Arabidopsis thaliana: one gene and its partner. The protein of the gene in region 1 interacts with the protein of each later gene in a pairwise test. Each region holds a gene or a part of one and is shown in the gene's direction. Other genes may lie near its edges.

Evidence for each region.
Region 2: the proteins of DAU2 (region 1) and CHX9 interact in a protein complementation assay, tested with the Arabidopsis thaliana proteins (one large-scale study listed by BioGRID).

Annotation. Positions count from the first base shown.
Region 1 is NC_003076.8:15,867,729-15,879,554, forward strand, and holds DAU2 (transmembrane protein, putative (DUF679)), read left to right. Parts: upstream 1-7,396; 5' UTR 7,397-7,536; coding exon 7,537-8,271; 3' UTR 8,272-8,388; downstream 8,389-11,826. Other genes in the region: AT5G39630 (Vesicle transport v-SNARE family protein), read left to right, coding at 534-627, 961-1,019, 1,088-1,264, 1,351-1,521, 1,864-1,986; AT5G39640 (Putative endonuclease or glycosyl hydrolase), read right to left, coding at 5,311-5,541; AT5G39645 (Defensin-like (DEFL) family protein), read right to left, coding at 5,664-5,791, 5,895-5,952; CDF2 (cycling DOF factor 2), read left to right, coding at 11,192-11,425. UniProt on the Arabidopsis thaliana protein: Involved in membrane remodeling.
Region 2 is NC_003076.8:7,653,984-7,668,119, reverse strand, and holds CHX9 (cation/H+ exchanger 9), read left to right. Parts: upstream 1-4,290; coding exon 4,291-4,539; intron 4,540-4,644; coding exon 4,645-5,120; intron 5,121-5,418; coding exon 5,419-5,968; intron 5,969-6,065; coding exon 6,066-7,193; downstream 7,194-14,136. Other genes in the region: AT5G22920 (CHY-type/CTCHY-type/RING-type Zinc finger protein), read right to left, coding at 1,089-1,256, 1,358-1,399, 1,480-1,549, 1,637-1,728, 1,813-1,895, 1,982-2,022, 2,128-2,171, 2,249-2,326 and 4 more; CHX3 (cation/H+ exchanger 3), read right to left, coding at 8,252-9,394, 9,491-10,549, 10,630-10,896; AT5G22890 (C2H2 and C2HC zinc fingers superfamily protein), read left to right, coding at 13,458-14,136. UniProt on the Arabidopsis thaliana protein: May operate as a cation/H(+) antiporter.

The DNA of each region.
Region 1 (11,826 bases):
TTACTTCAAGCGTATATTCAGCTGAAGAATTAAACAATTAAAAAGGTCAAACACTATTTGAATAATTCGAAAACTTGGGGGTTTTTAAATCAGTAATTTTCCATAAAGATTGAAATATTCCAAGCTTTGTGCTTAATTCGCTTCTGCTCCAGCCTAGTCCTTAAGTTCCATGATCACCTGAAAACCTCGTAAATGATTTGTAAATTTTCTCTTGAGGTCGGTGAATTTAACTTTGTGTGGCTTCTATTTCTCTATTTCTTTCATACCACATAATATGTTAGGGTTTGAGTTTGGTTTAGGGTTGTTTTAGACAACAATCATTGATATTAATTCTGTCTTCTTCTGATTCCCATTGTGTACAATAATCTTATTGATGATTTTGGGTTACTGATTGTTCTCATAATTTCCGATTTATGTAGTCTAGTCTAGGCTATAGTGATCTTAGCTAGCTATGAAATGTTTTTCTTTTTCTATCAGGTTTGCGTGCAGGAGAATTGAGTTTCCATCATCGCTAAGTTTGCTGATTCTTCACAATGAGTAATGTGTTCCACGAATACGATCAGCAATATAGCGAGCTCTCCATAAATCTTTCAAAGAAGTGTTCCTTGGCTTTTTCTCTCAAAGGAGGTAAACTGATATCTCGAATCTCTTCCTCTTCTTTTTTTTTCTTTAATAACCAAAACGTTTTACCGATCACTATAGTCTATAATCTTTTCAAACTAGGAGAACAGAGGAAGTTAATTAAATTAGAGTCTCCTCTCCTTCATGGATACTTGAATTAATGATCTTGAAAACTAAAATGTTTTCTTAGAGAAGTGTAGAAAAAAAAAAGATACACAATCTTTTAGAGATGTTTTGGTTTGGGTTTGATGTGGTATTGTATCTTTTAAATTATCATCATTTTTTAGTCCATTTTTTGCCTAGCCTAAGATACATAGATGATACTTTACTAATTTACAGGAGAGAAGAAGGAGAAGCTGTCCGAAATAACATATGATCTGGAAAATGCAGAAAAATTGGTATGTGGATATAGAAGTATTCTATCTATGTTTCCCCTATGATGATTCTCTGCCTTTTATTTCACTAGATTTCGAAAATGGATCATGCAGCAAGTAACCTTCCACCCAATATCAAATCCATCCTTCTTGAAAAATTAAAGGAATCCAAATCGAGTCTAAAAAGATTGAGAAATGAAATCAAGAGGAACACATCTGAAAACTTGAAAGTTACTACTCGAGAAGAAGTTCTTGAAGCTGAAAAGGCGGTATGTAAGGACATGGTTTTGTTCAATCTAATATAATCTTGATCTTGCTAGTAAAACACATTTTGGTATATTTTTATTGAGTTAAGGATTTAGCTGATCAAAGATCAAGATTGATGAAATCAACCGAGGGTTTGGTTCGAACTAGAGAGATGATTAAGGACAGTCAAAGAAAACTGCTGGAGACTGAAAATATTGGTATTTCAATACTCGAGAACTTGCAAAGGCAGAAAGAGTCTCTCCAAAACAGCCAAGCTATGGTAGACTTTTCTCTTACTTAATAGGTCCTCTAGTTTTTGAAACTATATATTTTTCAATATCCCAACAAGGTGAATTGAACTAAGTGGCAAATAAAATGATTATTTAGGGATCTTCCATGAAGTAGACTACTTTTCTTTATCTACGACATCATCGACTGGGCTAAAACCTAGTGAATTTGAACAAGACTTTTCTCTTATTTCATATTCATTGATTCATTAGATATATATATATATATATATTATTTATTTTTGTATGAATATAATAACTAGTAGCTTTTCAAATAGTTTGAGATGATCTTTTTGCTTGGTATTGCTTTAACCAATGTTATAACGTTGTTACAGCTTCATGAGATAGATGATACTGTCAAAGAGAGCCGGTCAATCGTGAGAAGCATAAAGATCAAGGAATTTTTTACTGTGACTGCACCAATTATCATTTACTTTTTATTCAAACTCGTCAAGTAAGCCTTGCATGCATGCGCTTCCTAACCTGATCTCGGATTCTGAACAATTGTTGTGTTCACTTGTGAATCGTGGATTTATTCTTCTATTATCTGTTTGTGTGAAGTTCTTTCTTTTGCTTCCTGTTGCATTCTTGACTTGTCTTCGTTAATCAAATATGAAATAACTCTTGTTTATTCTTCATATATCCGATCCAAAACTAGAATTTCCATACGTTATTTTGGAATATTTTTTTCTAAATATTTTATTACACAAAAATTTGTTTTCAAAATTAGTAATAGTATTTCATATGATTGTGACACGATTCGCAATAGATTTCTATTTTAGAAATGTAATAGATTTCTATTTTAGAAATAAAAATAAAATAAGATTGGAGCAAACTAAACTCTTAACAATTTATATATGTGGTCAAATCTTGTATTCAAATGACAAATGGGTGGTTCACCAGATCAATGTGAATAAGAACATATAAATAAATAAATAACGATAATAATATTAACCGACATAACAGTAGTACTTTCCTACATGTTGAGCCGAAGTTGAATTTTGACATTGTACTATATCTTAGCTGTTAATAAAGAAAGAACAAAAAGTTAGAACGAAACATTTCATTGTACAATCATATATAATGTATATATGTAATGTAAAGAAATGAATAGATAAGTAACTAAATAAATAAACTTTATAAACTTGCTCTACTTTAGCATCTCAACCAATAATGTAATAGACCTAGAAATTAAATCCACATATAGTTTAAGGGACTTAAACAAAATTGAGAAAAAATGAATTTGTTTAAACCAAAATAGATATATCAACAAATAATGACTCAAAATATAAAGTTTAAGTCTCATTATATTAGACCATCCCCATAAAATAAGTCATCCATATTCATATCATATTAGTGATATTTGGGATTTTTTACGTGTCATCGTAAGCCTAGAATGAGAGGAAGAGACAGTTGCATAGCCATAGATGACTTGCCGGGCTAGCTTGGTTACACTTCTTGCCCCAACACACATATATAAATAAGTAAATACTTTTTCGTATTATATTACGTACGAAAAAAAATCAACTAAAACTATGTAGATAAGTAAATATATATAAACCATCATCTCCATAATATAAATCGAATATAGAGTAATCATAATACAAGCTACCGGCAAGTCATCCTTGGCTGAACAACAATGGCCTTTTTCCCACATTCAAGGCTTTAGATGAGACAATCCATTCACACCTTCATTTTCATTCTGTAAGATTCCCTAACCATAATTAATACTCATAATGGACGAAAAAAAAAAAATGAGAGCAAAAGAGGTGTTGTGAAAATTCTCTCGTTTGTGAATGTAGTTTTTGTTCCAAGAATTGTGGAGATAAATAGCAAACGAAAAAAAAACATTTGGAGAAAAGATGAAGAGATCTTTCAAGTTTGTATGTGGCATTGTCTTGCTCTCTTGAAGTATAAGGTGTATCGTACTTATAGATCTTTCTACCAGTTTCCAATTGCTCATTAATGTTTTGGCTTTGCTGCATAGGCTCGTCTTCCAATAGCTTCGTACATTTATGACAGTTTTATATGTTCATAATTAGTCTTCAATATATTATAAGTTTATATTCTAATTCCTCGAGAGAGGCATGAATCATGCTATATTATAGATTTAATCCCAGCAATGAAAGGTGGATATATAATGCACGTATGAGGAACTTTACTATTATACTATATATGCACATGAATTTATTCTGGTTGTTTTTGTAATATTATTCAAACTAACCAACCAAAGAACGAAAAAATTAATCTTTAGTATACTCATGACCTTCTATTTTACTAAACTTAACTTTTTTTTTCTCTTGTAATAAAAACTTGTCACGTCATAAATCATAATATACTGATATATGATAGACAAACCAAACTTTAGTTCTCTTGCAATCTAAAATGAATTTCAACTGATATGTTTTCTTATAAACATTGAAATGGGTACACAACTCTAACCAGTGGAGAATTGAAAAGAAAAAATAGTACATTTGTATACTATTTAAGGGAAGTACTGACAATGGTATAAAGAAGGAAGTGTGTACTTGAATAAGTTATCGAGTTATGTGAAGTCTTTATCATACAAGTACACTTTTACATATTTAATTTAATAACTCACATTTCAACCAATAGAAAGTACAACTACATTATTTTTTCTTTCTCTTTTAGTTTTAGCTCCTTGTCCACTGTTCATGTTTCACTGGGATGATTTTCTCTAGAAAGCAATCGTATATCCTTTTTCTGCAACACTGCTGTTTCGTCTGTTGTATATTGCAATGCTTCGGGTTCTCAAAGTATAGTAACGCAAGGCGAAAAAAAAAAAAAAAAAAAAAGTATAGTAATGCAATTGTTAATAAAAAAAATGATTTGACTATCTTCTGATCAAAATTTAAATAAACATAACTATATATACATCTTCTACATTATAACATTTCTTAATCTCGTGTATTGTTGTTTTTTTCTTTTTGGTAGTTCATAAAGCATTAAACGTTGTTATAGGATCGATCAGATCGTTACTTGTGATGGTTGAGGTGGATATTCCTTCCAATCACAGAATCCTAATCATATCAGTATAGTCATTTTCTTGTTCTCTAAAGTTCTATAAAATAATTGATTTATTAGTAAATGTAACAATCTACGACATTTAAATGTCTTAATTCGAAGATTAAAGAGTGATTTATTTTGGTTTTGGGATAAAACTGAAAAGATTGTGACCCACGTCGATTGCAATCTGCAACTACTGCCATCAATAGATGATTTAGTCAATTTTAAAATTAATCACTATTTGCAACTAAATAAATGTTGATCATGCGATAGCAATATCCTAATGGCTAGTGATGAAGTTATAAATGGTAAATAATGGCCCCTTCCCTCCTACTTTTCAATTTTGGAAAAAATATTATTAATTAATCTTTTGAAAACTTTAGAGCATCTCCAATGAGTTTAAAACATTAATATGATGTTACATATTGAGTTTAATATGTATTCTTATGGTAAAATATGTATTCACTTGAGCATGTTACATATTGGAATAATTATCTGATTATACCATCTGAATTTAACTTGAAACTTTGTACATACGTAGGAAAAAAATATCGTGTTGTATAAAAGAAATCTCCAATGGAGTTTTTTATTATATATAATTAATGTGTGGTTAACAAAAATAATATAAAAATGAAATACATATATAACATTAGAAATAAATTACCAAATTCGTAAATTTTAATTAAAGAATCATTCAGGTGTCTTTAAAAAATAATTTGAACAGTACTATACAAATGCACAAATTTGGAACAATGCTACATACACATAAGAGGAGTGTTAAGGTAGCCAATGGCAGTGATTGTGAGAGGACCAGGGTAGCCTGCCTTCTTCAACTCCGATTCTATAGAGTGAGCGACCATTCTAGCATCATAACCATCGGGAACCGGACAGCTGTTGATGTCCCACCACACCATCGTTTTTGGCTCCTGCTTCGCCTCGTTCGTATTTCTTGAATCCATGGTTTTCAACATACAAATATCAGTCATCCTCAAAATTCGGATTAACAAATCGCTTCTTTACTCAGATGAAATCACCGACCGATGGATGGTGCGGCGGAATAGGGCAAGTTACACATGTTTACCGATACTAGTGGCTGTTTTATATGGGCTCAGATTCGTGGCCTATCATCAATGCCTGGAAGACACCTTCCAAGACTCGGATGTTCTCTACAACATATCGATTTTTCTTCAGATATCCACGGTGCAATGTGTTTTTGTCCATTTATTTGAATGGATCCTACATTTAATCAAAAAAAATATCATGTGAATTGATTTTCCAACATCAAAACTACATGACAAAACATTAACGCTTTAGTACTAAATACAAAAAAAAAACATACCTATACATAGCACAATAGCAGCAAATAAAACAAAAGAGACAACATTTGTTTTAACCATCTTTCTCTTTTTTCTTTGTTAAATCAAAAGATTACGAATTTTTGATATTTTTGTATTTGAATGAGAATGAAGAAAGAGTTGTTTCGTATTTATAATTAGAACTCTAACTCTATTCAAGCGATCCTTCAAATTAACATTAGTAAGGAATACAATATATTTGGTCAACCAAATTAAAAACATGTTTCCAAAAAGATTAGATTCCAACTTTGACTACATTATTACAAGATATACATGACTTATTTAGATAAACGTATTTGGTAATTTGCAAGGTAAAGCAAACAATTATTTTCTAAGGGTTTATTCTGTCAAGAGATATGATTAGATACTCATTCATTTCTCAATATTCCAATTCACTAGTTTAGGAAATTATACTTATTGCATAATCTTGAGGCTCACGCGCCTACTACTTGTATATAAACAAGCTCAATATCTCTTTGTGAAATATATCAAACATACATCTTCTACAAATTCCAAAATCAATGGGCAATAAATAGATTTGTCTAATTAAAAAAAAACAAATACTGATATGGGATTCTAATAGAAAAAAAAGAAAAATATACATTCTATTTACGCGCATTTAATCCAAGGAAAATGTTGATCTTCACTATATATAATGTCTATCAAATTAATTCTCTTGCGAAGGACTCTTTGTTTGCTTTCAACCTAGACTTTGTCTAAGGGAGTGAATATCAGTAGTTGCAAAAAAAAAAAAAAAATCATGATTGAAATATTGTTCAAGTTGTATCTAAGTAACTACGAAAATATGCTTAAACTGATTTTTCTTTTATAAATTATTTTATAGAAATTTTAATATGTGTTTGTATACTTATCAACATATTTTCACATGTTTTTAGAAACTAATTGTAATAACAACTCGATTCTAGCATCTCTTTATTAATTAACTTTATCGATTTAACTAGACTTTATATCCTATGGATTTAAATGGTTCAGATAATTAAGAAATCCACCCCAAAACACTTGGATGCGATTCTATCGGAAAAGATCGGATCAACTGATAAGAACATATAAATAAAAATTAAAGTTTATTAGCTAGTTTTTTTTTTTTTTTTTCACTGATGAACAAAAACCGTGGAACCAATGAAATTCGTATAAATGGGCTTCATAAGTGGCCCAAGCCTTGTTCCTTGAAAGGGCAGTTCTGCCATAGCTAATTTTTTTTAATCAAGCCCAAATATGGTTTGTCCGTAAATGAGGGATTTCCTTTTACCCAAATCCACCGGAAAAGTATTAGAGACAAATACATCATCTCTTAAGTAATGTTTCATTTGATAGAATAATAACTTGCGGAAATTTTCTTTAAGAAACACATGGCTTGGGCCAATTCATGGACTTCAAGCCCATTTACACTAATTTCATTTGTTCCACGTGGCTTGTTATCAGAGAGAGCAAGAATTCTAAAACCTTTCCCACATAAACCGTCGTCCGATGAAACTCTATAACCGTCAATAACCGCCGCGATTTGAAAAATAAATACAAAAATCTCATTCTCCATTAAACCATTTAACACAACATACGAAAAACTGGTAAATCACAAAAGAAAAAAACAGAGAGAAACACACGAAAATGGAGAAAACAGAGGAAAGCGTCGGAATCAGAGTTTACACGGCGACTCCGCCGCAAAAACCATCACCATCACCACCTTCTCGTTCACCAAAACCCGTCTTAATCTCTTCATTGCCTTCCCTCCCGTCAGGAGCCGCCGCTGGAGGAGGAAGAGGTCGAAAACGTCGCATGGTGGCGCAAGGAGTTCAAAAAACGGTTTCGAAGACATCAATGCTCGTCAACTTCCTTCCGACAGGAACACTCTTGATGTTCGAAATGGTTCTTCCATCAATATACCGTGACGGAGACTGTAACGGAATCAACACACTCATGATTCATCTCCTCTTGCTTCTTTGCGCAATGTCTTGTTTCTTCTTCCATTTTACCGACAGTTTCAAAGCATCCGATGGGAAGATCTACTACGGTTTCGTGACGCCACGTGGACTCGCGGTGTTCATGAAACCGCCGCCTCCAGAGTTTGGTGGCGGAGATGTTATAGCGGAGGCAGAGATTCCGGTGACTGATGATAGGTATAAGTTGACGGTTAATGACTTTGTTCATGCAGTGATGAGCGTTTTGGTGTTTATGGCGATTGCGTTTTCGGATCGAAGAGTCACGGGATGTTTGTTTCCAGGGAAAGAGAAAGAGATGGATCAAGTTATGGAGAGTTTTCCAATAATGGTTGGAATTGTTTGTAGTGCTTTGTTTCTTGTTTTTCCGACCACTCGATATGGTGTTGGTTGCATGACTGGTTAATTTATTTTCACTTTTCTGTTTTTTGGTTTGTTTTAGTATCTATTTCGTATTTTCCTTGTAATTTAGATTATCTGATTTAAACTCCAATGTTCTACTATTTTTATCTATTGTATTGTTAAATAAAATGTTGTGTTGATTCTATCTAGACTTGTTTGATAGGAGGAGTACATTATGACGTTAGTAAAAGCTTCCTCAATGCAGTACTTTTTTTGTTAAGATCTCAAACTATGCAATTAATTACCAATTGAGTCCGTGATGTAGTGGAGGCCAAAAAAAAAAAAAAGAGTCCGCGTGGGCTTTGTCCTTTTTGTTGTGTAGGCATGTCATGTTGGCCCAAAGTCTTAATCTCCACGTTGTGTTTTGTATCTATTTTATTTAGATTAGATTATGAGTTCTTTAGATTTGAGCTTATCAACCCCTGAGTTGTATAAGTGTTCATTGTCTTCAGTTTCTGATGAATTGATAGGATTAAAAAGTGATTTTTTTTCATAACACGTTCCTTGTTTCGGCACTCTTTCAAAGATATCAACATAGTCAAGAAGACGAGAAGGTCCCTTGTTCATATCCCGCAATTCTACAAAGAACCAGCGTTATCAAAGACTAACAAGAAGAAAAGTGACAAAATATAAGATTGGAAGAAAGAAGAAAAAAGAGAAGAAGAAGAAATTTCAAATATGTGAGGGATCGAACAAACCAAAATACTAGTATTTATATGGTTATGCTTTGATATCATGTCAGAAAATTCATCAGTATGAAAAGAAAATTCTTAATTTTATTGATTAGCCAGTAAAATTATCTACATAAACACATAACTTGATCTACAAATTTTCTATAAATACGAAGATAAAAAGTCTACCCAATTAGCAATAATGAAATGGAGTTTTGTTTTTCCTAGTAACGATATGAAAATTTATTCGAATCAATCTTGTATTGTAATATTCGAAATTTGATCACCATGTTTTCATTAAGCAAAAATTCTCCGTTTTCACCAAGAGTCACTTAATGAACTTAGCCAGCTTTTACAATATAGTTCATTCAAGTTCTTTTTTTTTTTTTTTTACAATATAGTTCATTCAAGTTCTTTTTTTTTTTTTTTTTACAATATAGTTCATTCAAGTTCTTTTTTTTTTTTTTTTTTACAATATAGTTCATTCAAGTTCTAATTCGAGAATGTTCAAGTCATGTGATATATCAACGAGACTTGTTTTTATACGAAAAATGCTAATTTTAATAAAACAAAACTCAAATAACGTTTCTTTAGTTCGGGGAAACAGTCGAAAAATGATAAAATATGTTTCCTAAGAATCTTTATCAGTCGTGCCTCCAAGTGGGGATAATATAATAAATGTAATGAAAAAACTTTATTATATAGTATATATTTGTGATTTGGGGTGGTCTGAAATAAAGGTACTATATACTTATCCACATAATTGCACTTTTTCAATGTTAGACTTGGCGTTCAATTACTTCTTATCCACAATATTGCACTTTTTCCAAATCGACTTGGCGTTCATTAGTAACCACAACTTCTAACATCGACTTATTACAGCCACGTATCTCTGATATGTTGAAGATTTTATGACAAGAATATAGGCAAAAAAGAGGAAAGAAACTGAAGATCCACTATATAGTAAATACTTGTAGCTTCATTTAAAAAAAAGAAAGTGATTTCAATGTTAATTTATTTTTCCTACAAGTACCAAGCTAAAACTGTAACTAAATGACTATTATTATCAGCGTAAAAAAACACATACTCCTTTTGTTTTTTTTTTTTGATTTTCTAGAAAAAAATTGTTTCAAAAAGATTGATTTTTTGGTTTTCAATGCAATATTTATTTAGTTATAATTGATAAATTGTAAACTTCAATAAGAATTATTGAATATCATTGGTTTAGAGTTATTGAAAATTATAAATTACAAAGAATAATACATTTAAAAGCAACATTTAATATGTTTTCTTAATATTTGTGTTTTTCCTAAAAAATCAAAGAAAAAAGAACACAAGGAGTATCAATCTGTAAAATGGATTTGTTTGAAGACAAAGATTGGTTTTTTTGGGGATAAAATACTATATTTTTTTAGTATTTTAATTTTTTGTTGGATCTTCTTAGTTCTTTAAAAATGAGAAAATTAATGTTTATATCATGTAATTTGTTTCTTTCATAAATATGTTTTTTTTTTCTTTCTCTCCAAATCTAATCATGATATTGTTTTCCATGGATATGGCTATTATAGAAAGCTAGGAATTAAAAAGTGTTTCAAGGTTTTAAATATGTTTTTTGTTTGTTACTCTAAAGTTTGTTTTTTCTTCTGAAATTTCATTTATAAACAGTAATTTTTTAATAAATGTGTGGGTAACAAAAAATTTATTGACATAGTTAGAATTAGAAAACATGTAAATTAGAAGTTAAATGGCCTTTAATCAACCATTTTTACATTAATTTAAAAAAATTCAGACTTTTAAAATAAAAAAGTTAAAAATGAAAAGAAAAGTAAAAGTAAAAAAAAGTGCTGACCACTGACCAGATTGAAAAGGAAAATAAAAAGAAAGCCAAAAAGAGACGAAAAAGAGAAAAAAAAAAGTCCACAAAAACAAAAATAAACTTGTGGCTAAGAATCCTCACGTGTGATGACGTGGCACTCTGGGCGAATCAAAAGGTTGTACAATTCGAAAGATCACAAACCCAAAAAGCAAAATCTGTAAATCTTTTTTCTTTCTCTCTCGCAAAGACAAAAAAGCATTCCCAATTAACAAATCTAGAAATCAAAACTCAGACAACCACCGATAACAAGACAGTCGTTTCTCTCTCTCTTTTAAACAAATAAAAATTGGAACTTTTTTCCTCTGTCTTCTCAAAAAGTTTCCGCTTTTTGCTCGCTGGAGAAGAAAGAAAGAAAGAAGTGAAAAGGAATCATTACCATGGCTGATCCGGCGATTAAGCTCTTTGGAAAGACGATTCCTTTACCTGAGCTTGGTGTTGTTGATTCTTCTTCTAGCTATACCGGATTTTTAACCGAAACTCAGATTCCTGTTCGGTTATCAGATTCGTGTACCGGCGATGATGATGATGAAGAGATGGGTGATTCCGGTTTAGGACGAGAAGAAGGTGATGATGTTGGTGATGGTGGAGGAGAGAGCGAGACTGATAAAAAGGTTAGTTTTTTTTGGAACTTGTGAATTGATTTTGATTTGTTAAATGGAAATGATTGATGGGTTTATGTTAGATTGGTCAAATCTTAGTTTTATTGATAAAGTTATGATTTTTGGTTTGTTTATGTAAGAACTAGGTTTTCAGAGCTTTTGGGGATTCGAAAATTGTAAATCTGGATTCTCAAATGAGTTTTTTTTTTTCCTTTTGTTATAAAGTGATTTGAGATCTTAATTAGTTCCATTTGGTTTTGATTGATGGTTATAGGTTTTGATATTGATTTGCTTAAGAACTTTTCAGGGTTTTAGCTTCTCTGTGATTGGAATCAAGTCTTTGATCCCTGTAGCTTCTAGCTTCTGTTTGTTGTTTGTTTGATTAGGATACATAACAACGATCTGACTCTGGT
Region 2 (14,136 bases), 8.2 Mb from region 1:
TTCTAGTGTTCAAGTGAGAGTGATCTTTTTGTACATTAGGGCTTTTGGTTATGCTCCATTGTGGGTTTAGATTTAGCGTGATGAGAAAGTAAGAAAAAAAAAACTCCCCTGGTTTAACTCTTAGCTCAATGAAGAGTTAATACTAAGTGAGAGAGTTTGCTAGTTTACTTCTTTCTCTAGTTATGCTTGCTATTTTTGTTGTTGTTGTTGTTGGGTTTTGTATCTCAACCCCAAAAACCCAATTTTACATTCATGTTTTGGCTCCATGATTGTGAAACTAATTTAGGGGTTTCTTTTGTACTCTATGATTTTTCCCTCTACTATCAGTTGGGGATGATTATGTTAAATCTAAAGCTCAAGACTTTAGCTTCATTTTCTCTCTCTCTATGTATGATGTTATGTTCCTGTCTTCATAATGTAACTTGTGGGGGTGTGCTTGATGATTTGTAACTTTTGAGATATTTTATTTAAATATTTTTGTGTTTGGGGGAAATGGGTGAGAAGTCGTTGGTAAGCCCAACAACCAAATGGTCCAAAAGCCATTTCATTGTCGGTTCGGGTAGGTCCTCAAGATCTAGAACCGGATCTTCTTGTCCATGTCACTAACATAAGTTGTTAAGCTGTGTCAAAAAATAGACAGTCCACTCATGGCTTATTGGATTGATTTACCTTTCAGTATATTATTTGGGCAATAGCTTCAAGTTATTATGTCCACAACAAGAAAGGATTTTAACTTCACTTGATCAAGAAACGAAATAGAGTTATAGAGATTTCATGAAAATGTGCAAATTCGACAAAAATTTCTATCTCAATTTGTGTTAAAAAGATAAGGCATATTTGTACATTCTTATACTGATTTTACCAAAATTTTACTTATTTAAACATTAATATATATAATTTATTTCAAGATATGGTTGTTTTGGGCTATAATGGTCTAGACTTGCAAGTTGGATTGGCTCAAAGCAGCTTTTGAATCTGTGATGATATAATTGTTAACAACCAAAGGCATTGACTGATACCAAACTATAGAAAGTACAAATAATCTCCTCATGGGAAATTCAGACACCAAAACCAGCTCTGGTTAAAAATTAACCGGTTGAACCAACAACCTGAGGCATTCCAGAGGAGCAAGAGTGACTATCAGAGCCTCTCTGTGTCTGTCTTGTATTGTAGGAACCACAGCTACTGCATTTATGCGCGATCAAATGAAACCGAACGTTCGTGTTTGAGCCGCAGTCATTGCAGAGAATCCATACCTGACTCAACACATCACATTTAAATCCAAATCAGAAAGTGTACATAACACAAACACACACACACACACGAGAATCAAATATCGAATTTAATTTTGGTTTACCATCTTGTTTTCATACATCTTTGGCATTGGGTATGCAGCAACCTGCAAAATTTTGAATGTAAGACTTAGTGAAACATAAGAGACTATACAAGGAGACCGAACATCAGATCAAGAAACCTCACCTCTTCATCAAGTTTCTTCCACAGATTAGACATGTCACATATGGATTTGGAGCATACAGGGCATGTGTATCTACACAAAGCATCAAGAATTTTTTTAATCTTTGTTTATCAATGACTTCATTCATGGGTTGCATAAAAGATTTGAGAGTTCTTTTACCGGTTATGTAGCCCCATATCTTTCGTGCATTCTAGATGCATAGTGTGACCACATCGTAGGACAGTGATATCTCTTGTTGAATCAAACAGATACTGAGAACAAATACATCCACATCAAGTTCAATTGTAAGAAACCATTATGTTGCATTAAGAAATGGGTGAATCTGATTCTTATACCTCAAAACAAACCGGGCAATTGTGATGCATAGCGCCTTCAACACATTGGTGTTTGTCCTCCATAATTTTGGAGTAGCAACATCCTGTTTTAAGAAAACAAAATAAGATCTCCAAACAAAGAAAGGCACGAGAATTTGTAGAAACAAGAACATGAGGTTTTGTCTCTTACGGCATCTTTTGCAATGGAAAAAGTTTTCTTCTCCTCCGGTCCTATTAAACCAACATCATGAGATAACATATCAATAATTAGTTACCAAAAATCAACAGATTCTTTTTTGAATAGGTAAGCAAAAATCACAATGCCAGTTTCTATACCTGCAAATCCCACACTCATCACAGTGATATTGCTTCTTGGAAAGCTGAAACAACCAATATTAAGTCTCATTACTACTAATTCCAGCTATAGAAAGAGCAATAACTCAATTACAAAACTTACATCATCGTCGAAGAACTTGCATTTTGAACAGAAGTACTTCCCCATACATACACCACAATTGGAGCAGTTTTGCTGAACCTGAAGAAAACAAATTACAGGTCTCTTCTACATCAATAAACATATTTACCAATAGAATTTGTATATCTAAAATGTAGATACTCACGTCTTGTTCTGTCTCACAAAGCGAGCATATGACCTGAAAAAAAGTAGACCAAAATTGTTATCACAATGAATAAACAGAATCAAAATGTTCATAAACCAGAATGTTCAAAGTTAAAAACCTTTGAAACTTCATGTCGAGGAAGCTCATGTCTATGATGCTGTTCAATATGAAGAGAATCCTGTTGAAACAAACAAAACACATTAACATCTATAACCAAAACTTGTTCTTCACAAAAACACACACACACACACAAGTTACAAAGACAGAGAAGTAAAAAGACTATTCCTTTAATATTAGTTTTCTACCTTAGCTTCGTTGTGGCAATGTCTGCAATCAAAAATCTCATCACAACATGGTGCTCTAATCTTGCATCGTCTTCTATAATGTGAACACCTAAACACACACACACAAGGATAATCAAATTCAAAAAAAAAAAAAAATGAAACTTTAGCTTCAAAACTCAAAAGAAACTCAAAAGATGTTATTTACCCGTAATGCCCAGATCCAATCTCCATTAGATTCGCAAATTCTTGATTTTGCTCATTTTCATGGAAACCCATATCCATACTTTACCTAAAGTTTTGATCTTTCTTACTTGGAATCAACACCAATCAGATATCAAAATTTGTTGAGAGTAACGAAAGAATAAAAGAAACGTAATTTGAAGAAATGTATTGACGACGTTTGGTAATCAGAAACAGAGGAAGTTGCAGAGATGAAAAAGCAATCATGTTGATGATATTTATTTATATGAAGATGAGTGATGACTCAGCAACACGCCAGATTTTTTATTTTGCCTAATCAACAAATCCCATACTCATTATTAAAAAGGTTTTAACGTTTTTGTTTTTTTTGCTAAATATAAATTTTCTTCTTAATAAACAGAAATATTTTTCCACTTGTTTATGGTTTACTCCTAATTGGAATTCATTAGCAGAATACATAATTTTAAATAATAAAAAATTACATAATAGTTAATTTTAAATAAAATACATAATAGTTAATTAGTCAGAGCCAAATTTCATCAACATTAATGAGAAAACTAGAGGTAAAAAAAATTGAAAATGAAAAGTGAAAAGAGATTCGTTGTCGGACTTTTGTTAAAAAAAATATCTTACTTGTAATTATGCATTAAAAAGAAAGTTATTTTTTTATATTCTATTAGAAAAAGTTTAATGTACTAAGTGAAAGTTAATAACATATGAAACACTCGGTTTAAGATTCAATTCAGTTGGCGACTTGGCGGGTCATTAAGAACAAATTTTTGTGGTGTGTGGGTCAATGTCAATATGTCATGTCTTGTTTTTAAAAAGCAGAAAACAGGATAGGATTGGATAATGGATATGTCCTCCAACTTGATGACTCAATTTTTTGGGTCCACTCTTTTATAAATTCTACTAAAACACACTATGGAATACTTTTTTTTTTTTTTGAAGTTTGATATTAGTAGTGTTAAAGTTGTGGGCTAAGTTCTTGAGTTAGATTAGTAGGTAGTGTCAACTCAATATTTGATCTTCAATGGGCTTAGATTGGGCTTATCTTTTGGGTTTGTTATAAAATAAGTATTTGGTAAAATGGGTTAGTTTCTTTTTCTTTTTTTGGTCAACCAAAATGGTCAAGTTTTAGGAAAGGATTAGAGTGCCTAAGTATCATCATTTATTTGTTGATAAGTTTGACCAAAACGTAACAAAATTATTTCGCAACCAAAAAGTACTAGTCAAAGGGGGGCGCCAACTATTTGATAAACAACAGCAACTGTTTTTTTTTTAAAACAAACCGTTACGTTGTTGAATATTTTGACGTTAAGAATAAATTATCAGCGAAAAAAAACGAAATCGATCTTTTACAAGTTTGACAAAAGCATATCTTCGTCATCATCATGACCGATTCTCAAGCACTAGTTCCTGGGCCTTCACCGCCTCATAGCAAAGCTGAAATTTGTTACGGAGCTACTTTTTTCAACATCTCTTCTTATGGAATCATGGAAAAATATGAAACTCCTACTGTTATCTTCGGATATGCATTGCCTCTCCTTGAGCTGCAGATCATTCTCATCTTCGTTTGCATCGTCTTATCTCATATGTTCCTCAGACGTATTGGCATACCACGGTTCGTCTCCAACATACTTGTAAGTTAAGAAAAACGTCCACAACTGTCAATTTCTTGTATCGCAAGTACCAAACGCTTGGTTTCTTGTACTGCAAGTAACAATTTTTTTTTTTTTTTGAACTAGGCTGGTTTGATTCTTGGACCTCAGCTGCTTGATCTTCTGGAGTATTCATCGGACCGATTATCGTTAGACATCCCCGGAAACGTAGCGTTGGAAGGTGTGGCCAGGCTTGGGTTGGTAATGTTCACGTTCTTAATGGGCGTGAAGACCAACAAGAGAGCGGTGTATCAAATCGGTAAACGTCCGATAGTAATCGCGGTTTCGTCCTTTTTCGTGACTATGATCAGCGGGTTAGCCTTCAGAAACTTCCGTCTCGACAAGGTCGACCCTCTTTATATGCCTCTGAGGCTAGCCCCAACAGAACGCTCCGTGATTGTATCGATTCAAGCAGTAACGCTGTTACCGGTCATAACCCACCTCGTATATGAGCTGAAGATGTCAAACTCCGAGCTCGGCCGCATCGCCATATCTACAGCCGCCGTCAGCGATTTCCTTGGATTTCTCACTCTAGTATGCATCTCCTACGTTGGAACATACAGGTATGTAAGACGTCGATTAATTTAGGAATCTAATTGGTGCATTTGCATACAAAACTACTTACCTCATTAAATATACTTTTGTAGTAATCAAAGTCTACAAATCCGGAGACCTAAAGCAATATATATAATGCTCTAAAACTGGTTAAAAGTTTGATCAACGAAAAGTTACCGTTTTATTGTCTATAAAGCAATACTAATTGTTATCTACACAATAGACGGCACCGGAGTGTTTGATTAGTAATGTATATCTACTATCTAACGAACATTATTTGCTATAATAGTTTGAAACGGTCTGCAGGTATGTATCGCCCGGAATAGCCAACCGCGACATAGTGGCATTGATCATCTTAGTCCTTGTGATCCTATTCATCTTCAAGCCAATGGCACAACGAATAGTGGACATGACCCCAGAAGGCAAGCCCGTACCGAAAGTCTACTTATACGTAACAATCCTGACCGCAATCGCCGCGAGTATATACTTAAGTGTTTTCAACCAAATGTACATTCTAGGAGCTTTATTGGTGGGGTTGGCAATCCCAGACGGTCCGCCTCTGGGATCTGCGTTAGAGGCAAGGTTCGAGAGCTTGGTTACAAACATATTTTTCCCTATTTCAATCGCGGTCATGGCGATGAAAGCTGACGTTGTAAGAGCATTGTATTCGTTCGATGACATTTCCTTTAACATACTTCTACTGGGTCTTACAGTGGTAGTGAAATGGACTGCCTCTTTTGTACCTTGCTTGATCTTCTGCGAGTTACCTACTAGAGAATCCGTTATCATCGCCACTATCATGAACTATAAGGGTTTTGTTGACTTATGCTTCTTCGATGTCGCCTTAAGAAGAAGGGTAAAATAATCTTCATCTAACCTACACTCTACATGTATATATATTGCATCATATGGTTTTGAATTAATGGTTGAATGTTTTTTGTTTTCTTTAACAGAATTTGTCGCGAGCAACGTACACGGTCATGATTATTTACGTGCTATTGAACGCGGGGATTTTGCCTACGATTATAAAAGCACTATATGATCCAAAGAGGAAGTATATTGGATATGTCAAGAGAGACATTATGCATCTTAAAACAAACTCAGATCTCAAGATTCTAACTTGTTTGCACAAGCCTGACAACATCTCAGGTGCGATCTCGCTACTTGAATTGCTTTCCTCGCCGCTAAACAACGATAACAAAGACAGAGGAGTCATTGCTGTCACGGCGTTACACCTAGTGAAACTCGCAGGACGTACGTTTCCCATCTTGATACCTCATGACAAGCGGTCTAAAGCGCGGTTGCTTCAAAACTCTTACATACAAACAATGATGCTCGCGTTCACCGAGTTTCAACAAGAGAATTGGGAATCTACCACTGTTAGTTCCTTCACAGCTTATTCTCATGAGAACCTAATGGATCAAGACATTTGCAATCTTGCTTTAGACCACCTCACATCGATGATCATTGTCCCTTCGGGACGAAAATGGTCACCCGATGGAGAATATGAATCAGACGATATTATGATCAGACGTGTTAATGAATCTCTCCTTGACCTCGCTCCATGTTCTGTCGGCATACTTAACTACCGAGGATATAATAAAGGTAAGAAAAAGACCAACAGTATCATTAACGTTGGTGTGATCTTCATTGGTGGTAAAGATGATCGTGAGGCGCTTTCCCTTGCGAAATGGATGGGACAGAACTCGAGAGTGTGTCTTACTGTTATCAGATTTTTGTCTGGTCAAGAACTAGATAAGTCCAAGAATTGGGATTACCTTGTTGACGACGAGGTCTTGAATGATTTGAAAGCGACATATTCATTGGCCAACAATTTTAACTATATGGAGAAGGTAGTCAACGGTGGACCTGCGGTGGCCACCACCGTTAGATTGGTGGCGGAAGACCATGATTTGATGATTGTAGGAAGAGATCACGAAGATTATTCGCTGGACTTAACAGGGTTGGCACAGTGGATGGAGCTTCCGGAGTTAGGAGTCATCGGAGATTTGCTTGCATCCAAAGATTTAAGAGCTAGGGTTTCTGTTTTAGTAGTTCAACAACAACAACAACATGGATGAGTGTAACATATGTCAGTGAATGATCTCAAAAAAAAAAATTGAATTATACTCGCATCATGGGTAAATGTTAGAATTTACATTTGACGTGGAAATAGATTTAATATAATTGATCTAAACAACATTGGTTAATCCATTCATTACCAAATTGTTTTTGAGTAAGAAACTCATGCATATATTGTTCCTAAAATAGTATATATCAAATCAATAATCCGGTATTTTTGAGAGATGAGTTGTTCTGCTCTAACATAGTATACAAAGATGAGTTTGACGCAGTTGGAATACATTGATAAGCCAGTTAATTATTGATTTATCTAAATTTAGTGTTCATTAAAATTGTATTTTAAATGTATGCAAATAATCCATTTCGTACTACTTAGCACAGTTAATTTGCACAGAATTATTCCAAATATCTAAATCTTGGCGCTTTGTTGAAGCAAACACTACTGCTAAAAAATTAAAAAATTAAAAAAATAATAATAATAATAATAAATAAATAACAAAATTGAAAATTTCACCTGAGCTTTAATGAAAAAAAATACGAGTAATGTGCACAATGTAGTTCTATAACCACTCCTATGAATATCCAATGATTTCTAAAACACAGATTATGTAAGAGAAAAATTCAAACGTGAGATATCTCCATTGTTCATCCGAGCTCAAGCACAACAAAGGTTTCAGTGAAACTGATCGAAAAATAAGTGAAAATGTCTTGTATTTTACTTCGATTTCTTACATTGTTCAACATGAAATTTCAAACTATTTTAACCTAAATAAATATGTTCGATCTTGACCAGTTTCTCTATTTCCCTCTATGTTGTTTTAGTGTTAATATAAACATGATTTTCTATAAATATAAAGATTAATATAGTTGTTGATCGCAAAACCTTATGCGATTATATTTGTGATGAACTGATCGGCTAAGTGGATTTTCCAAAAAGTTACATTTGAATGGTCTAAATAAAATTTACAAAAAAAATATTCTTCTTACAATTAAATTTCTAAGTCTATAATGAAAAGAATGGTAAAATTGCAAAATGATTATGTACGTATATAAGAACCTAAATCATTAGCTGTTGTTGTTGTATAACCAAAACAGAAGCTTGGCAATTAAAATCCTGTGAAGTCAATAAATCTCCAATAATACCAAGCTCCTTAAACTCACTCCATTCCTCAAGCCCTTCTGTGAACACACTCGTCCTTCCGTTCCCTCTTCCCACTATGAACATATCGAAATCGCTTACCATCGATCTTAGCAAACTCGATGTTTCAGCCGCGTCTTCAATCGCTTTCTCCGAGTAGAAAATGTCTACTAATGTATTGCTTTTCACGTCTCTAAGAAGTTCATCGTCAAGCATTTTATCCCACACCGTGTTCTCTCGTGCTTTCTCATCGGTAGTGATCAGTCGAACAATGGTTATATTGATCCTTGGGTCACGGGCCATTCGTGTAGCAAGTGTCACTGCTTCTCTATCGTCTTTACCGCCTAGGAAGATCATACAAATATTGTAAGATGATAAGTTTGGAACTGTGCCATTGATGGTTTTCCGTCCGGAACTGATGTTTTTCCGTCCGGAACTGCTTCGGTATACAAAGACTCCGACAGAACAAGGTGCCACGTCGAGAACGCTCTTGTTAAGGTTCCGGATCATGTTATTGTTAGAGATAAGAGCTGATCCGTCAGCAGACCAAGTCTGGTGAAAAGGAAGGAGTATGAGAGAAGTAGTGTTGTTGAGAGCAAGCATACATATATCTCCGTGCATCGTATCGGGCATAGATAAAGCCGTGTAGGTGCTTACGAAGACCGAACCATAGAAATCTTTACGAAACTTTTCAAAGGAGACAAGTACATTGTTTGAATAAGACGTCTCCTCTGTTCTGCGAGTTTGCAATTTATGTGAAATGAAGATCGGATTTGCTTGTCCTACAAGCTCCATCAAGTGGAGAACGTAGGTAGCTACAGGAGATTCCCGGGACGGACAAATAGCTTCAAGAAGATTAATCATTGGACTTATATCATCAGTTCTGTAAATGCAAGACAGAATCCTTAGCTCAGAGTTTGGTTTCAAATGCTGCATATTCCGCTTCTCGTACCCCGCGTACATCCTCGAAGGATCGTATAAGTACCGCAAGATCGGAGGAATGATTGCGGAGTTCAACGTTATGTAAAGACACGCCACAGTGAAGGTCTCGGGACGGACAGACTGCAATGTTCAAAGCATAAACATAAGATAAACTTTGTATTGAAATGATTAATTATGATTATGAACTTCATTATGTGTGTATACATAATTACATACCCCTCTTTGGTAGGCCAAGGCGTAGGCACCGAGCTCGAAGATGCCTTTAAACGACATGATAAGAGATAGAGCGAAGCAATCTTCCATCGGCATACCATAGAACAAAGCAGGAACAGTAGTAAAGATGAACTTGACGACAAAAGATGTTACCATGATGAGTATAATACCATTGAGACCTTCCCAACCAAATAAAGCCGAAATATCGATCTCCGTGGAAGATGAAGCAATGAAAAACGGAAGAAAAGTTCCGAATATAGCCGACTCATACTTCTGAATGATCGCAGAACCTAAAGGAGGACCATGAGGAACAGCAAGACCTAAGATGAAAGGTCCCATGAAAATAGATTGCTTGCACCAATTGGCAAGAATGGCTGAACCAGAAACCATAACAATTATTGTACTTAAGTAGATTGCCTTGACGGGACGACCGGAAGGTGTTTGTTTAATAATGTAGAACATTAACGGTCTGAAAACATAGATGGCAATACATACAAAGAGAACCACTATCCCTGCTCGCATCAAAGGACGATTCCCTGCAATAACATCACCTATAAACACACTCCCGAGCCGTGTTTGTTCGTCCTTGAGCTCCTTCATAAATATGAGAACGGAAGCGAGAATTGAGGTGCTGAAATCACTTATCACAGCAGAAGATATCGCTAGACGACCAAGCTCTGAGTTTTGTAGCCTGAGCTCAAAGAGAAGGTTTCCAACAACGGGGAAAGAAGAAAGACATTGGATTGAGTAAATCACAACATACTCTAATGAATTGAGAGTATGGTCTGAGTTTTTCGTTCCAACGTCCCTTAAGTTTCCGAAGAAGATAACGGAACAAACTAACGTCGAAAGTAAAACAGAGGAGAGCCCAATGGTGATAGCTTTTCTTCCTGTGGTTCGGATCAAACCCGTGTCCATTTTAACTCCCATCAAGAACCAGAACATCATGTAAGAACAAGCAGCAGTGAGACTAAACACAATCTCTTTGTAATCCTCTGTAGAAAAGAATCTTCTCGCTGCTGAATTCTCCTTTAGAAAAGACTTGCTTAAAAGAACACCAGTCTACAAACAAAGATCAACACAAACCTCAAATTTCAAATCCAGATAACAAGAAAACGAAATCGAGATTTTCGATTACTTACAAGCATATGAGAAGTGAAACGTATCATGCCAAGACGTCGAAGGAAGAAATGTAAGAATTGCCATAAGAAAGAGATGATGAGAAATATCATTTGCAAGTGTGGAAACGCGTAATTCCAGAAATGAACATTGATGTTAGGATCTGAGAATTTTTGTTGCGGCCAAACACCATTGGAGCTAGGGTTGATAGGTAAGACGTCACAAATCATGGTTCCTTCTCTCCATGTGTCTCTCATGTAAAACATCTTATTATCTCCAAACACCTCCATTGATGATGATGAACCCTCAAATGAAACAAATTAAAAAAAAAAAAAGATTCCAGGAGCAATGTGTTATCGGAGAAGGATTACAAGGATTTGGATCTTTTATATGAATTAATTCTTCTTTTACTGTTTAGGTAACAGAATCTAAAGAACAAGTGATCATCTGAGTTTTAAAACCCTAATAATAGTAAATAATGAATGGGCAAACGTTACCAACAAGAAACAGGTTTTGGCCGGCGACATAAATATATATATTTTAAAGGATTGTCTGATTACTGTTAGTTTTTACAGGTTACAACTTAATTCTGCTAATTTACGGGTAATTGAGCAAACTACAACAGACAAATTGCCAAAGGTCATGAAGAAAGAAATTACAATCCAACTTCTGGCGATACCACGTGCCGCCTCTATTTCTCCGGTGATTCCGATGGATCATCAGATTATGATGACGAGTAATCATCTCCGATCCCGTGTTCTTGCTCACGTCCCGGTGATCAGATTGGAGGAATTTGAAATTGCAATTTAAAACTCATTCAAAAATAGTTAGCTTGGGTAGCAAGCATAATTTTTCCAAAAGAAATTTGTGTATTTTTTTTCTTTATATTTTCTTTTTTTATTTGACAAAGTACGTAATAATAGGGAAAGTGGAGTTCGAACTCCCAGCTACGCAAAGGTCTTGTTTTTGTTAGCTTTCACTTTTTGGTCACATATTGGAAACTTGAAAACTAAATTAAAGTAGTTGAGTTGAATTTGTTTGGTGTAGCATTTTAAAACTGAGGGTAATTATATACATGACATTTGTAATTCAGAGATTCATGTCATCCTACATTCCCATGTTGTGGTGAGCCAGTTCGACTGGCCTATATTAGTGAAGTCTGGTTTAATAACGTCTTATTTACAAATGTGGTTTGCAGGTTGGTTCCCAGCAAAAAGAACTAAAAAACTCTACTAGAATCGCATGTGGAATACACTGTCACTGTAATGGTAGCAGCAACTTCTTTTTTTTAAAAAGCGTTAACTAACGTGGCATTTTTTTCTTCTAAAGGACAAAAAGTAACGTAACTCACCAAAGCTAACCCCAAGAAACAGCATTGATCACCCATATCATCATCACTGCATAGAAATTTTGATTAGTCACCAACAAAACTACTTCTTCCGAAATTAAAAAATGAGCACGCATAAGCAATATTTATTTAATATAATTGCAACTCATGCCGATGGCCACATTATAAACATTTCATGTAAGATCCAATCATATAATCGTATATGCACGCGTGTACAAATATGTGTGCATGAAAAGAAAAAAAAATATGTGTGCATGTAAGCAGATAAGAGAACTGAATGTAGTCGCAACTTTTTTTTTAAAGGATTGGATTTGACATAAGATATTATATAGATGTGAGCTTGACAGTTACAGAACGTATTGTATATAGAACAATACAAGAAAAGGCCATGAAAGAACACTAACACTTGACTTAGGTTAATCATTCTTTAATTACATCGGGATTGACCTTCTTCGTTTATTTAACTCATAAGATGTAGCTGACAAAGTCTAGTTAAGGTTTCATCCGGGGGAGGATTTATGTGGGGATGGTCGCTTTTGCTATCTCGAGTTGACTTCCAAGTTAATCCTAACCACATCACATACTTCTATTATTCCATTTTCAACCTAATGTAAATAATTCATATACATGACAAATGCATTTAGAGAGAAGAAAAAACATCATTCATGACGACAAAAACTTAGTCTATTGAACTTTTCTAGCGTTTTCTCTTGCCAGCATCCGGGTTCATCAAAATCTGTATATTGCATATTATTGTCATTATTGACAAAAAGACATTATTTACAACTTCTATGTATCGTATATTTATAAACGTCTAGATGTCTTTTTAATTTAAAACATCTTTGTAAATCTTTAATTAAATATCTGATTTTAAATAAAATCAAACATAAACATAAACAAATATAGTTGTGGAAGTCCTTTGGCCCAATGGTTGATTAAGGGTTCATCAACCCCCGCTAATTTTTTTTTTCTTTCTAAAACAGATGAATGTAACCTAACGTGTGTCCCGTCTCTAGAAAACATAAAATTCTTAAATTCTAACTTCTAAATTAAGAAAAAAAAACATTACTTGACATAATATATCAATTAGAATGTTTTTTTTTTTAATTACAATATTTTGTTTGGATCAAAATATCTTTTGGATTTTAAATCACTAATAAACTGCAAGGTTCAAAATATAGTTAGGTTCAATAGCTTAGTTTTCAAATTTTACTCAATTTAGTATAATCTTTCCGATTTTAAGATGTTTGATAAAGTGAAACGAAAAAATAAATTACTATATGTGTGACATGTATTTGTTTGTGTGTGTTATTTTGTGTGAATGTATGTCACAACTCGCGAGTATTTTATACGGTAGAGGGTAGGGTGTCTTCTTCATTGCATCTCTCTAGAGTCTGGACCGTCTGGCATATATATGAAACAAATATACCACAAAGAATTTAAAGATTCAACAAAATCCAAAGAAAATATAAGAACAAAACTCAAGCTAGATTCTTCATATACATGCATATACATATGATGAATCGAGATGAGCATATTGCAAAGAAAGTTGAAGGATCAATCTCTAGCTTCTCCGGGGAGACCAGTACTTCCTCAAAACAAATCTATGTTAATCCCGTGACCACGACCGGGACGAAATCAATGGAAGACGACGACGTTTCACTCTCTCTTCTATACAATCTATCTACCTTACATGAAAAAGTCCATCAGATCCAATCTCTGGTCAGCTTCTACATGGTATCTACTAATAACATTAACCAATCCTCGGGGTCAACGTCTTTGGCCGTGGCTAACATCGGAAGTTTGGTTCAAGAGATCATCACGGCTGCTTCATCCATGTTATATACTTGCCAACAACTCCAAATCGGATCTAACAACAACAACAACGATATCGATAATGATCAAACCGTAGATGCAATGGTTTTGGAGTTTTCCCGACAAGAAACCGACCCGGGTCATGATTTTGTGCAAGAGTCGACCAACCTTTTTGGTGTCCAAGAAAGAGGGCAGATCTCGTTTCCCGACCAGAATCTTGATTGGTACAACACCGAAACCATAAACCCTAAAAAAGATAAACATCGTTCTAAACCAAGTTCCGGGAGCTACGATATACTGGAGCTAGACGTAGCGGACCTACTAGCGAAATACACGCATTACTGCCAGATTTGTGGGAAAGGGTTTA